3 separate regions of the Mus musculus genome follow, and regions 1 and 3 are each reported to be linked to region 2. The links are microRNA targets in miRTarBase. Many come from high-throughput screens and were not tested one by one. Region 2 holds a microRNA gene; each other region holds the end of a gene's coding sequence.
What was found. The annotated mature microRNA mmu-miR-376b-3p reads AUCAUAGAGGAACAUCCACUU and lies in region 2 at 2,111-2,131, opposite strand. An mRNA with a match to its seed (bases 2 to 7 or 8) in the 3' UTR can be bound and repressed. Matches are read on the target gene's strand: a 7mer-m8 pairs with bases 2 to 8, a 7mer-A1 pairs with bases 2 to 7 and ends in A, and an 8mer does both.

Region 1 (3,254 bases), not on the chromosome of region 2:
GGTTCTCACTAGCCGGAATTAGCCCAGCCTCAGAGAGGCCTGCAGGAACCGCATCTCCGAGGGTAGGTTCGCTGCGTGCCTTTCACACGTGCCTGCAAACGGATTCTGAAGATGTCTTCAAAATCCAGACGAAAGAACAGGTCCTTGATCCACCCCCTTTCCAGTTTTCCCCTTGAGAGGTAAGGCCGGGCAGCCTTGAATCTGAGAGAAATGCCCATTGTCACTCCCAAATCCATGGTACAAAGCCTGCCTGGGAGCCGAGACAAAAGCCGCACGCCAGCGGCGGCTGAGAGGACATATTCCTCGCTCTACAAGTTGCCCAGAGCACCCTTGGAGGGCTCCCAACCCACCTCTAGCCCCGCCAAGAAAGGGGGTAAATGGCTACTTAGGACCTGATTGATTGCCTTGGCGAATGGCTTTCTGATTTTGTTTCAGGGGGCCTGCCCTTTCCTGTAGCACAGGTTTCCCCCCATCAGCAACTAATGGCGCTCCCCACATCGCTGGGAGAAACGCAGAGGTTAAAATCACTCTACTTCTTTTGCCCATCCAAGGTAAGTCAGGGGCAAATTTATTCCAGTCCTCTCAAGCTAGAATGGAATCAGACACTTCTCTCTCTCTCTCTCTCTCTCTCTCTCTCTCTCTCTCTCTCTCTGCTAGCCTCAGAAAAATACGTCCCTAAAGGGATCTGTCTTGGAATTTGAGAGGATTTGGGGTCTGGGAGAGGAGGTTTAAAAAAATCAGTACCGAGCATCCCAAAGACTGTCTGGATGGGGCGAGGCAGCTCAGAGACGCTGAATGCACCGTTCTTTGGGAGGAAAAGGGCCTGTGTTGGGGGGGGGGGGATCCTGTTTTGTGAAATTCTTTGAAGATGGGTTAAAAACCACAGGCCAGACTTGGGGCAACGAGTTCAGTCACCTCTTCCCTTTTTCCTGGTAGCACAAGATGAATGTGGGCTCAATGACAGGGATTCTACAGACGTTGGTTTGAATTTTCCAACCCATGTATGTAAAAGGCCCATTGGACAGACTTGTTGAGCAGTCATGGTCACTTGCAACTGCTTTCAGTCACCTGACAGCTCAGACACAGTGGCTGCAAATGAACATTTTGTAATTAAATAGTGAGAGATTTGACTGGGGGAATAGTTTCATTTTTTTCCTTTAAATAGTTACTGTGGGCCACTCAAAGGCAATGGCAGAATATTAATCCTTTTCAGAAAGGAACCAAGGTAGAATAAAATGAGAAAACTCACCCAACCTTGGCTTCACTGGGTCTGGTTGTCTTGAGCTTGGGGCGGGTGGGAAAGAGAAAGGGACTTGGGGGGGCACAATTGGATCCAGTGCCCTGCTAAGCTGTTGCTTGTTCCTGCAATGGAGGCCAGCCAGGTTCCAGGTGGGCATTACTAGTTTCAACCTAGCCCCTGAAGATGGCTTCCCCAGCCAGAAGTCACCAAGAGCTCACTGAAAGCATTAAAAATAACATAACCAAAACCAAAGAGAAGAAAACACACAAATGGGGGACTGGAGGCAAAAGCCTGCAGTGGGTTCTTACTTACCAGGCTCAGGGGTAGAGGGAAGCTCATCCCATTGAGAATACAATTATATTAATAAGATTAGGGGGTGGGAGAGGCGAGAACGGTCTTCCCAGTTATGAAGACTGAGCTCTCAGGCTGAATCACGAACCCTTCTCAAACCCATCATTGCCATATTCTAACAGCCTAGGTCTTCTCCAGTTTTTCTCCTCCCATCTCCTTTCTCCTGCCCCTCCCAGTCCCCTAGTCCACTGCCCCCTGAAGAGCAGTTTGGTCAGAAGAAACCCTCCCCAAAGGCTTTCCTCTCCACCAAAACGTATATTTCCATTTCAGAAAGCAGAAGGAACAAACCCATTTCCAGAGTTTATTGCATTACACATGCGACCAGAACATGCACAGAAAAGCACAGGTTGCGCTTGTACTTCTACCAAACCACAGATGCACCACAAGGAAAGGCTACAAGGCATAAGTCATCAATATTCCATTTCACCAAGGACAATTGCTAAGTTCATTTGTGAAAAGATACATTGTAATGTGCTTTTTAAAGTCCCCCTCCCCCCAAAGCTTGTGGGTTTTCTTAATCTTTTGAAATATATATAGATATAGGTTGTTTGTTTTTTTAAATACTGGATGTTTTCAAAATGCCATGAGTTCATGGGCTAACCACACACAGAGAACTTTTATGTTAGGAAAAACATGGAAAAGTCACATTGCTGGCGGGATAGATGGGTGGGATGCGATGGATACGTTTAGATGGATGTTCTACAGTTCCAATAAGTTAAGACCCAAATGAAAATGCGCAGTAATAGTTACCCTGCATTACGATGAAAAAAAATAAATTACACGTGCTAAGTTTTTTTAATATATATATATATGTATACTCATAGGGATTACAGATCACTTGCAGCACGAACAGAATGACCCCAAAGTCACATTCTAGCAGGAAAACAGAACAGAACAGAACAAAACAAAACAAAAAAACCAAAGAGCAATGAAGGGTTTGTTTCCGCCTTGCCAGTCCTCCAGCACTCAGGCCTGGAACTCGGTGCCCCCTCTCGGATCCTGGCCTCACATGGGCCTCAGACCTAAGAAAAGGTGAGGTTGGCGGTCAGTTCTCGGATTCGATTCTCTCGGCTCATCTTCTTGAGTTTCATTCGGCGGTTTTGAAACCAAATCTTGACCTGCCTGTCGGTGAGGTTAACGCTCTTACTGATCTCTAGGCGGCGCTCGCGGGTGAGGTACATATTGAACAAGAACTCTTTTTCCAATTCCAGCGTTTGGTGCTTGGTGTAAGGGCACCTCTTCTTTCTGCCACTCTTTGCAGTGAGCCAATTGCTGGTTGGAGTATCAGACTTGATTTCCTCTAACAAAATTAAAGGGAGAAGAAAAAAAAATCAAGAATTTTTTTTTCTCTCAGTCCATTCAAATATACCCTTGGCCATGACCCTGCTGCCAGATGGGCTGCTTTGGACAATGCTGGTATTAAACATCACTTACGAAGGTGGGCATGAAGGGGATTGTAAATTGGTACCAATTTAGAACTAAATACTTAACACGATGAATGAAAGGATATTCTGTGCCAGAGGCTGCCTCCTCATATTCTCTCTCTCTCTCTCTCTCTCTCTCTCTCTCTCTCTCTCTCTCTCTCTCTCTCTCCTACACAACTTTTCTGGCTTGCACAAAATGTGACTATAATAGCAAACTTTACAGGATTCCTCCGTCCCCC
Region 2 (3,254 bases):
GTATCAGGAGACCTGACCCAAAGATGGAACAGGGCTGGAGTAGTTCCCAGATAGAGTTAGATGTGAGGACAAGTGCCTCTTGCAGTCTATTACCATCAATAAAGAGAACATACCGGAGGCTATCCTCTTTACATGAACCAAGAGTTGGGCCAGGGAACAGTGAAGCACCTGTGAGCCTGGGCTGAGCACAGGGGCTGGTGAAGCAAGCCTCAGCTGGCTGGCTCTGGAATTGGCTGCATACTCTGCACACTGGTACCCAGCCCTAAAGTTAGTTTACTTCTCAGTATCACTCCAAAACAGGGTGATCTTCCAAAAGACTAGGGTGGGGCATGGGAGGATGGGCATGGGGTGGGGTGGGGGTGGGGATTCTGTGTAACTTAACAAAAAAGTGACAGAGAATGATTGGCATTCCAGAGCCTGCAAAGCCACCCTGGCAAGAAAGCCTCCACCTGTGCCCACAGCTGCAGCCTCCAGGAAGTCCTCCAGATGGTCATCGAAAGAGCAGGATTAGTACGCACAGCAACATGCATCATTCAAGAAAGAAGAAAAACCGGAAAACTAGCTCTCTGAAAGCCCCCACCCTCTTCCCCAAACTGGAGCAGTATGGAGACCTCTGGACCTTCCTTCTGCCCTTCTTGGGGAGTTCAGAGGACTATGGGAGACTTATCACTATAAACATCAGACCCATGCAAGGCTCACCGGAGGGAGGTGAGATGCCCCACCTCCACCCGACCCCCAGAACCAAGGTTCTTTAGACAACCTTAACATAAATTCATGCTGTGACACACAAGGTGAAGAGGACACCTGGAGAAGGAGGCTTAATGGTCTTGGTAGCCTCTGGGAGCATCTTTACTTTGGATATCCACCAACCCCCTTTCCCTTAAGTGGATGGGAAGCCTTAAAGGTGATTGTAAGGACAGGTTGGCAATGGTGGGCAGAAAACCCACATCTAAATGGGCACTGGCTTGCTGCTGACACTCTTTTGGCCTTAGAAGACGACCTGGCATGCACACCACACTGCGAAGGGCTGTCAGAAGGGGAGGCACAGTTTCCTAGGCTCTACCAAGAACAGCCCTTAGGATCAGCATTTTTTTCTAGAAAGTTCTCAGAAGCATGTGTGAGATCTGTAGGGTCAGACGAAGAAGGAGCTCAAGCTCGGTGGCCCACCATGCATTTACTTACCCTGGAGAGACCACACCCTTCTGCTAGGCCCAGGCCGCCGCCAGCCATGCTTCCAGGCAGCATTTGCTCCTCGAAGAGAGCTTGCCCTTGCATATTCATTTCGCGTAAAGCAAACACACAAAGGATAACCTCTCTTCAAGTAGCAAACGATAAGGAGCGCTGGGGAGAGCTGGTCCGGTGCGATGACAGATGCGATGACGGTCCGGATGTGAGCCTGAGGGGGCACATTTGGAGGTTACACTTCCAGATGATTCACATGCCCCCCCTTCTCCGCACACCCCCCAAAGGGTTACCCAAGGCGCCCTTACCCAAAATGATGGCCCACCCAGGAGCTCTCCAAGACATATCGCTACAGAAAAAAGAAGCCGACTCCAGAAAACATACACATGGTGAGCACACAGAGAAACAACTTCATTTGAGGTCAGAGAAGGGATATAAAGAACACAGTGGTCTCAGAACACATCACTGGGAGAGGCTGGCATATAGGCACACATCACACAAGTCACAAATCTATCTATCCCCGCCAAGCCCAGGAAGACGACGGATAGCACGCTTTCTTCGGTGAAGATGTCATGTCCTCGGTGGTTTCCCAAGCAGCATTTGATACTGAAAACGTGGATTTTCCTCTACGATTAGTCATTAATATTGTACTCATAGAAGGAGAATCTACCTTTTAAATATCAAAGAACAACTCGATCCAGGATGCTGTGAGCTTGTGCTTGTGTCGACAGAAATGGAAGTCCACTGGGCAGAGTGAGCAGGCTGCCCAAAGAGGCGGTATATCAGACCCAGATCAGACTAACACTCAGTTGGCTTCTTAAGGCCATTTCTGGCCACGCCCCACTCATTATTACATGATCTTCCCCCCCAGCCCCAGACCCTACAGAATCTTCCAGAAATAGTTCCAGAGCGACATTTGATACTGAAAAAGTGGATGTTCCTCTATGATTATCCAGGAAGCACGTAACCATAGAAGGAATATCCACCTTTTAAATACCAAAGAAGGACTGAGTTCCGGGAAGGACCAGGCTTGCTGCTTGGCTCATCTGAAACAGATTACAAGACAAAAAAAAAAAAAAAAATCCCCGCTTCTCAGGCAGAGGAAACAGAATGTTGAAAGGCGCCTCGGCCTCTGTGCCAAGCTGGCTCCACAGGCAGAGACCCAAAGGTGATGGTCAGCAGACATATGACATGAGAAACACACATGTTCTGCAGCTTACCATCTTCCCACTTACCGAGGAGGGCACTGCGCCCAGCCTCATCTCCCTGGTGGATCATGTCACCCAGGAAGCACATGAGACTCAAAACTCAGGCAAACCCATCAGATTGACCAGCAAACATAAAACCACAGAAGGGAAATCTACCTTTTAGATATCAGACTTAAACTCTTGGGACATCCAATAGGACAGTCCTATCTGCGACAGAAGGGACACAATGGGAAAGACTTGTTAGCTGTGGGGGATTCCAGAACGAGACCCCTGACCTCTGGCTGAGTTGGCAGCCCATGAGGGAAGCTCTCAAGATTGCTCATTGGCCCTTGGGCACCTGAGGACATGCTCTGTGGACCACTGACCCCCCACTTACCCAAGAGGGTGCACCTGTCCTGTCACTGCCCTGGTGGTGGCTTCAGCTCAGGCCCATTACCCAGCAGCATTTGACACTGAAAACGTGAAATTTCCTCTATGTTTAATCACAAAAAGCATAAACATAGAAGGAATATCCACCTTTTAAATACCAAAAGATTTAGTCCTGAAGAGAAAGAGCCGAGGCCTAATCCGTCAGAAATGAAGAAGGCAGCAGACAGGCGCCCTCGGCACAGCCCCCAGAGGACACAGATTCCAGGAACAACCTGGCTGTGGAAAGCACAGGCTGTGGAACCCATCTCTCCCTTTGTTCTCTGGGTGGGGGAAGACTGGAATAACCTGCTTTGTCCTAGGGGGCACTTTGTATTCAGAAACATCCCAGAACCACTTGAGATACTGAAAATGTGGGTGTTACCTCTATGATTAACCAGAGGCATAGAGGAGCACTCACCTTTTGAATATCAGAAAGTGAGCGACAGAAGTGTATCT
Region 3 (3,254 bases), not on the chromosome of region 2:
TTTTCAAGACAGGGTCGACCAGGCTGGCCTCAAACACAGAGACCCAACTACCTTTGCTTCCTGGGTGCTGAGATTAAAGATGTGCACTATCACGCCCAGCTGCATACCACACCTCTTACATCTTTGCCTTATATTATCCCCTATGCATGTGCAACACACACTTTGTTAAACACTAGATTGTGAAAGAACCGATTGCTGGGAACACTAATTAAGGGACACTCATAAGCTCATTAAAGAGAACCCAGTGTGTAGGCATGTTCAGTAGTGTGTTCTGTTCCTACTCTGATGGCTATCTAAGCAGGTACATTTACAATCTATGCGCAAGACATTATCTAAAAGAAAAACTGTGAAACAGAGCCTTGGCCTATGAGCCTTGTTCTTCTAGGGCTGCTAAGCCTGATACTGTATGCATCATTGCACATATGCTGACTAAAAACTTTCACTCTGGGAAGGGACAACCACCATATAAGTTCCCCTGGAGAGCCAACAAGTATACCAATCAGGTTTATATAGACCGAGTAGGGGGTTACCGAAAGGAGCATTGATGAACCCAAATTAGTTACACCAAAAAAAATGTATGCCCAGTATGGATTGTCCATGTCTCACAGGTAGAACCCTCTTCCCCAGAGTCTTCCGCAGCCTAATAGACTAGCCCCTTCCTAAGACCTTGAAATTAGAGCAGAAATACAACTAATTAGGAGGAATGGTTGGATATTCAGGTGAGAGTCCATTGACATTCCTGCTGCCTCCTTCTGAGGGAAGGTTAATAGTCAATAGCTCAGCTGTGACAATCTTTTAGCACAATTGTCCATAGCTGAACTCAAGAAGATGGTGGCAATGTGGATCGTCATTCCTGTACATACAGCACACACTCAGGCACACTTTCCAAGAATTCATGGCTGTCGTCGGGTACTCTCAAGAACCAGGATGCGGGTGCAGCAATTATAATAATGGGAAAAGGGAAAAACACTACTTGGCACTGTTCAGAGACTGGCATCCCTCCCTCTCAGGATGACTCGGATAATGTCTACACTGTTTGCTGTGTCCACTGACCTGTCCGTCTTTTTTATTATATAAACTTCTGAGTTTAACAGCATCTACTACTAAACTTTGTGTTTTCGGAACGTAAACTTCTCATGAATATAGCAAGCCATTTTTGGATGTTAAAAAGGGCATATAATTTCAGGAAATGTTCTCAAAAACAAACACACACACACACACACACAAAAGCCAAAAGTAAGTAACTTAAAGGTTTTGTTTGTTAAGACTCTGAGTTTGTTGTTAATACCTTTTCTAGGCTAGAAAGGACTAGAGCACAGCAGCTAAAGAGTTTGCCTGGCACACACAAGGCCCCTAGAGTCCATTTTTAGTAATGGAAAAAAAAATAGTATTCTTCAAACTACACACAAATAAGGCACTAGAAAAGAAAAACACATAAGACAACATGAGTTTATTAATGTTCATTTAAAACTATGCATGAATTTTATCAGTGTGTGGAGTGGGCTCATTCCACCTTAGAGATGCCAAATATCTGTATTTAGCTTTCATCCATAAAATACGCTGAGTTAAACATGATCAATCCAATCCAATCCAAAGGGCATCTTTTAAAAAAGAACATGAGTACCTAGCTACAAAAGGTAAGTTAGTCTATTAAAAGGCATTTTTAATGGGTCATATTTGTCACAAAGAATCAGTGTATAAATCAAAGCAAAATATATTCTTGTCGGGCATTATCAAATTTAAGCAAAATAATGTTAAAAGAACTAACATTACACTAAAAAGTAAAACATCTTTATGAATAAGCATAAACATCACAGCACATTATTACTATTTGACAACAGAAAACAAGAAACTATGCTTCAATGTTGAATTTTTGTAATTTCTCTTAAGGAGAAACAGAAACTTCAACAACTTAGGTAAATTACATAAATCTAAGAGGTGATTCATAAAACAGTCTCTTCAAGAATACGCAAATGCCTACAAACGTGTCTGTTTCCAATGCAAGAGAAACCCGCCTGCTACCACAGCAACGTTGGGACCCACTTCCCCATTTGCTTTATCTGTAAAAACTCTAGCTGGACGATTACACAGTACAAGTTGCTTTGTGGGTGCACAACCTTGAAAGTGGTGAACAATTCACTAGCTCTTTTCTACTTGATTGACTTACACATTTCAAATGTCCGTGGTTCAAATCAAATATGTACAACATTTTAAAAGGTAAAAATGAGAATTATATACAGCTTCAAAGATCACATCCTATCAAGAGGCCTCCCTCACCTAGAGAGAGAGCATTATTAAACACCAGGTCCTGCATCTGACCAAAGAAGCATCGATGACAGCAAAGTGCACATCAACCTCACATCCAAATTTCTGTCCCCTTTCAAATGCTTTCATTTTTCACCTCATGTTTCAAGCCCACCTAATCTGGACCTGGCAATCTCTACATGAGCAAGGCTTTATGCCACAGATCAAGTCTTTTCCCATGAGTCTTTTTTTTTTTCCCTACCTGAAAGCTACTGGTTATCGAAGGTAATTTTACCATTCAAGATCAAATTCAGATATATAGATCCCAGATACCTGGGTATGAAATACGCAAATCTGCCAAGAAAATTAGATATCTGTCTTCTTTTCTTTTAATATAATCCACTATATAATAGTGAACTAAATGGGTTTGTTTCATAGAAACAACTTACATTTGCCAATACAGGGCAAATGGTCTATGTACAGATACATCAGGACTGCCTAACTGACAGTGAGTGTCGCTGAACCAGGCTCCACGCCAGTGGACCTAGTATGGTGGTGCTCGCTGCTGAATGGACTTCCCCTTCAGGATACGTCGGATCTGGAAGAGAAAGGAATCGTGGAACTTACTTCCAATGCTCCAAGCGGTATATGTCTCCCAGATTTTCACTCCTCTCATTAACCCTCTACAGTGCACCCCTAACTTAGGAGCACAGCCAAGTCAAACTCGTGGTAGAGCAGCGGCCAGGATATCCAAATGTCCAAGCAACTGTGTGTAGCTCTCCGGGTCTCAGGAAAGCCCCCACAGTCATCTAGAGCCACTGACTTTTTGTATCCCAATCAGACAAATTGTGTATCTGCCTTTCAGCCCACGAGAGATTAGAAGCAATTAGAGGAAGAGATTTTGGTGGCTGTTGCTGCGAGCTGCTTTCTGAAAGGAAACCTGTCCAATGGCCACCGCCTACCGAGGAAGGAAAAGAGAAGCCCCTCTCTGTGACAGCACACACAATACA

Region 1: miRTarBase lists Hoxd10 as a target of mmu-miR-376b-3p. The part of its 3' UTR that is shown has no 7-base or 8-base seed match.
Region 3: the mRNA of Nfkbiz is a reported target of mmu-miR-376b-3p. Seed matches in the 3' UTR shown: 8mer at 2,676-2,683.

Annotation. Positions count from the first base shown.
Region 1 is chr2:74,693,728-74,696,981 of GRCm38, reverse strand. It overlaps Hoxd10 (homeobox D10), which reads right to left. Exons shown (of 2, transcript NM_013554.5): 2 at 1,876-2,891. The coding sequence ends at 2,614. Among named protein-coding and RNA genes, the nearest start is that of Hoxd9, 2.4 kb to the left of the region's middle.
Region 2 is chr12:109,722,385-109,725,638 of GRCm38, reverse strand. Mir376b (microRNA 376b) reads right to left here and starts at 2,181; the gene lies at 2,100-2,181. It overlaps Mir376c (microRNA 376c), which reads right to left and starts at 2,921; the gene lies at 2,836-2,921. Mir654 (microRNA 654) reads right to left here and starts at 2,421; the gene lies at 2,338-2,421. Mir376a (microRNA 376a) reads right to left here and starts at 1,858; the gene lies at 1,791-1,858. It also overlaps Mir300.
Region 3 is chr16:55,809,942-55,813,195 of GRCm38, forward strand. It overlaps Nfkbiz (nuclear factor of kappa light polypeptide gene enhancer in B cells inhibitor, zeta), which reads right to left. Exons shown (of 12, transcript NM_001159394.1): 12 at 1,436-2,842. The coding sequence ends at 2,789. Among named protein-coding and RNA genes, the nearest start is that of Nfkbiz, 11 kb to the right of the region's middle.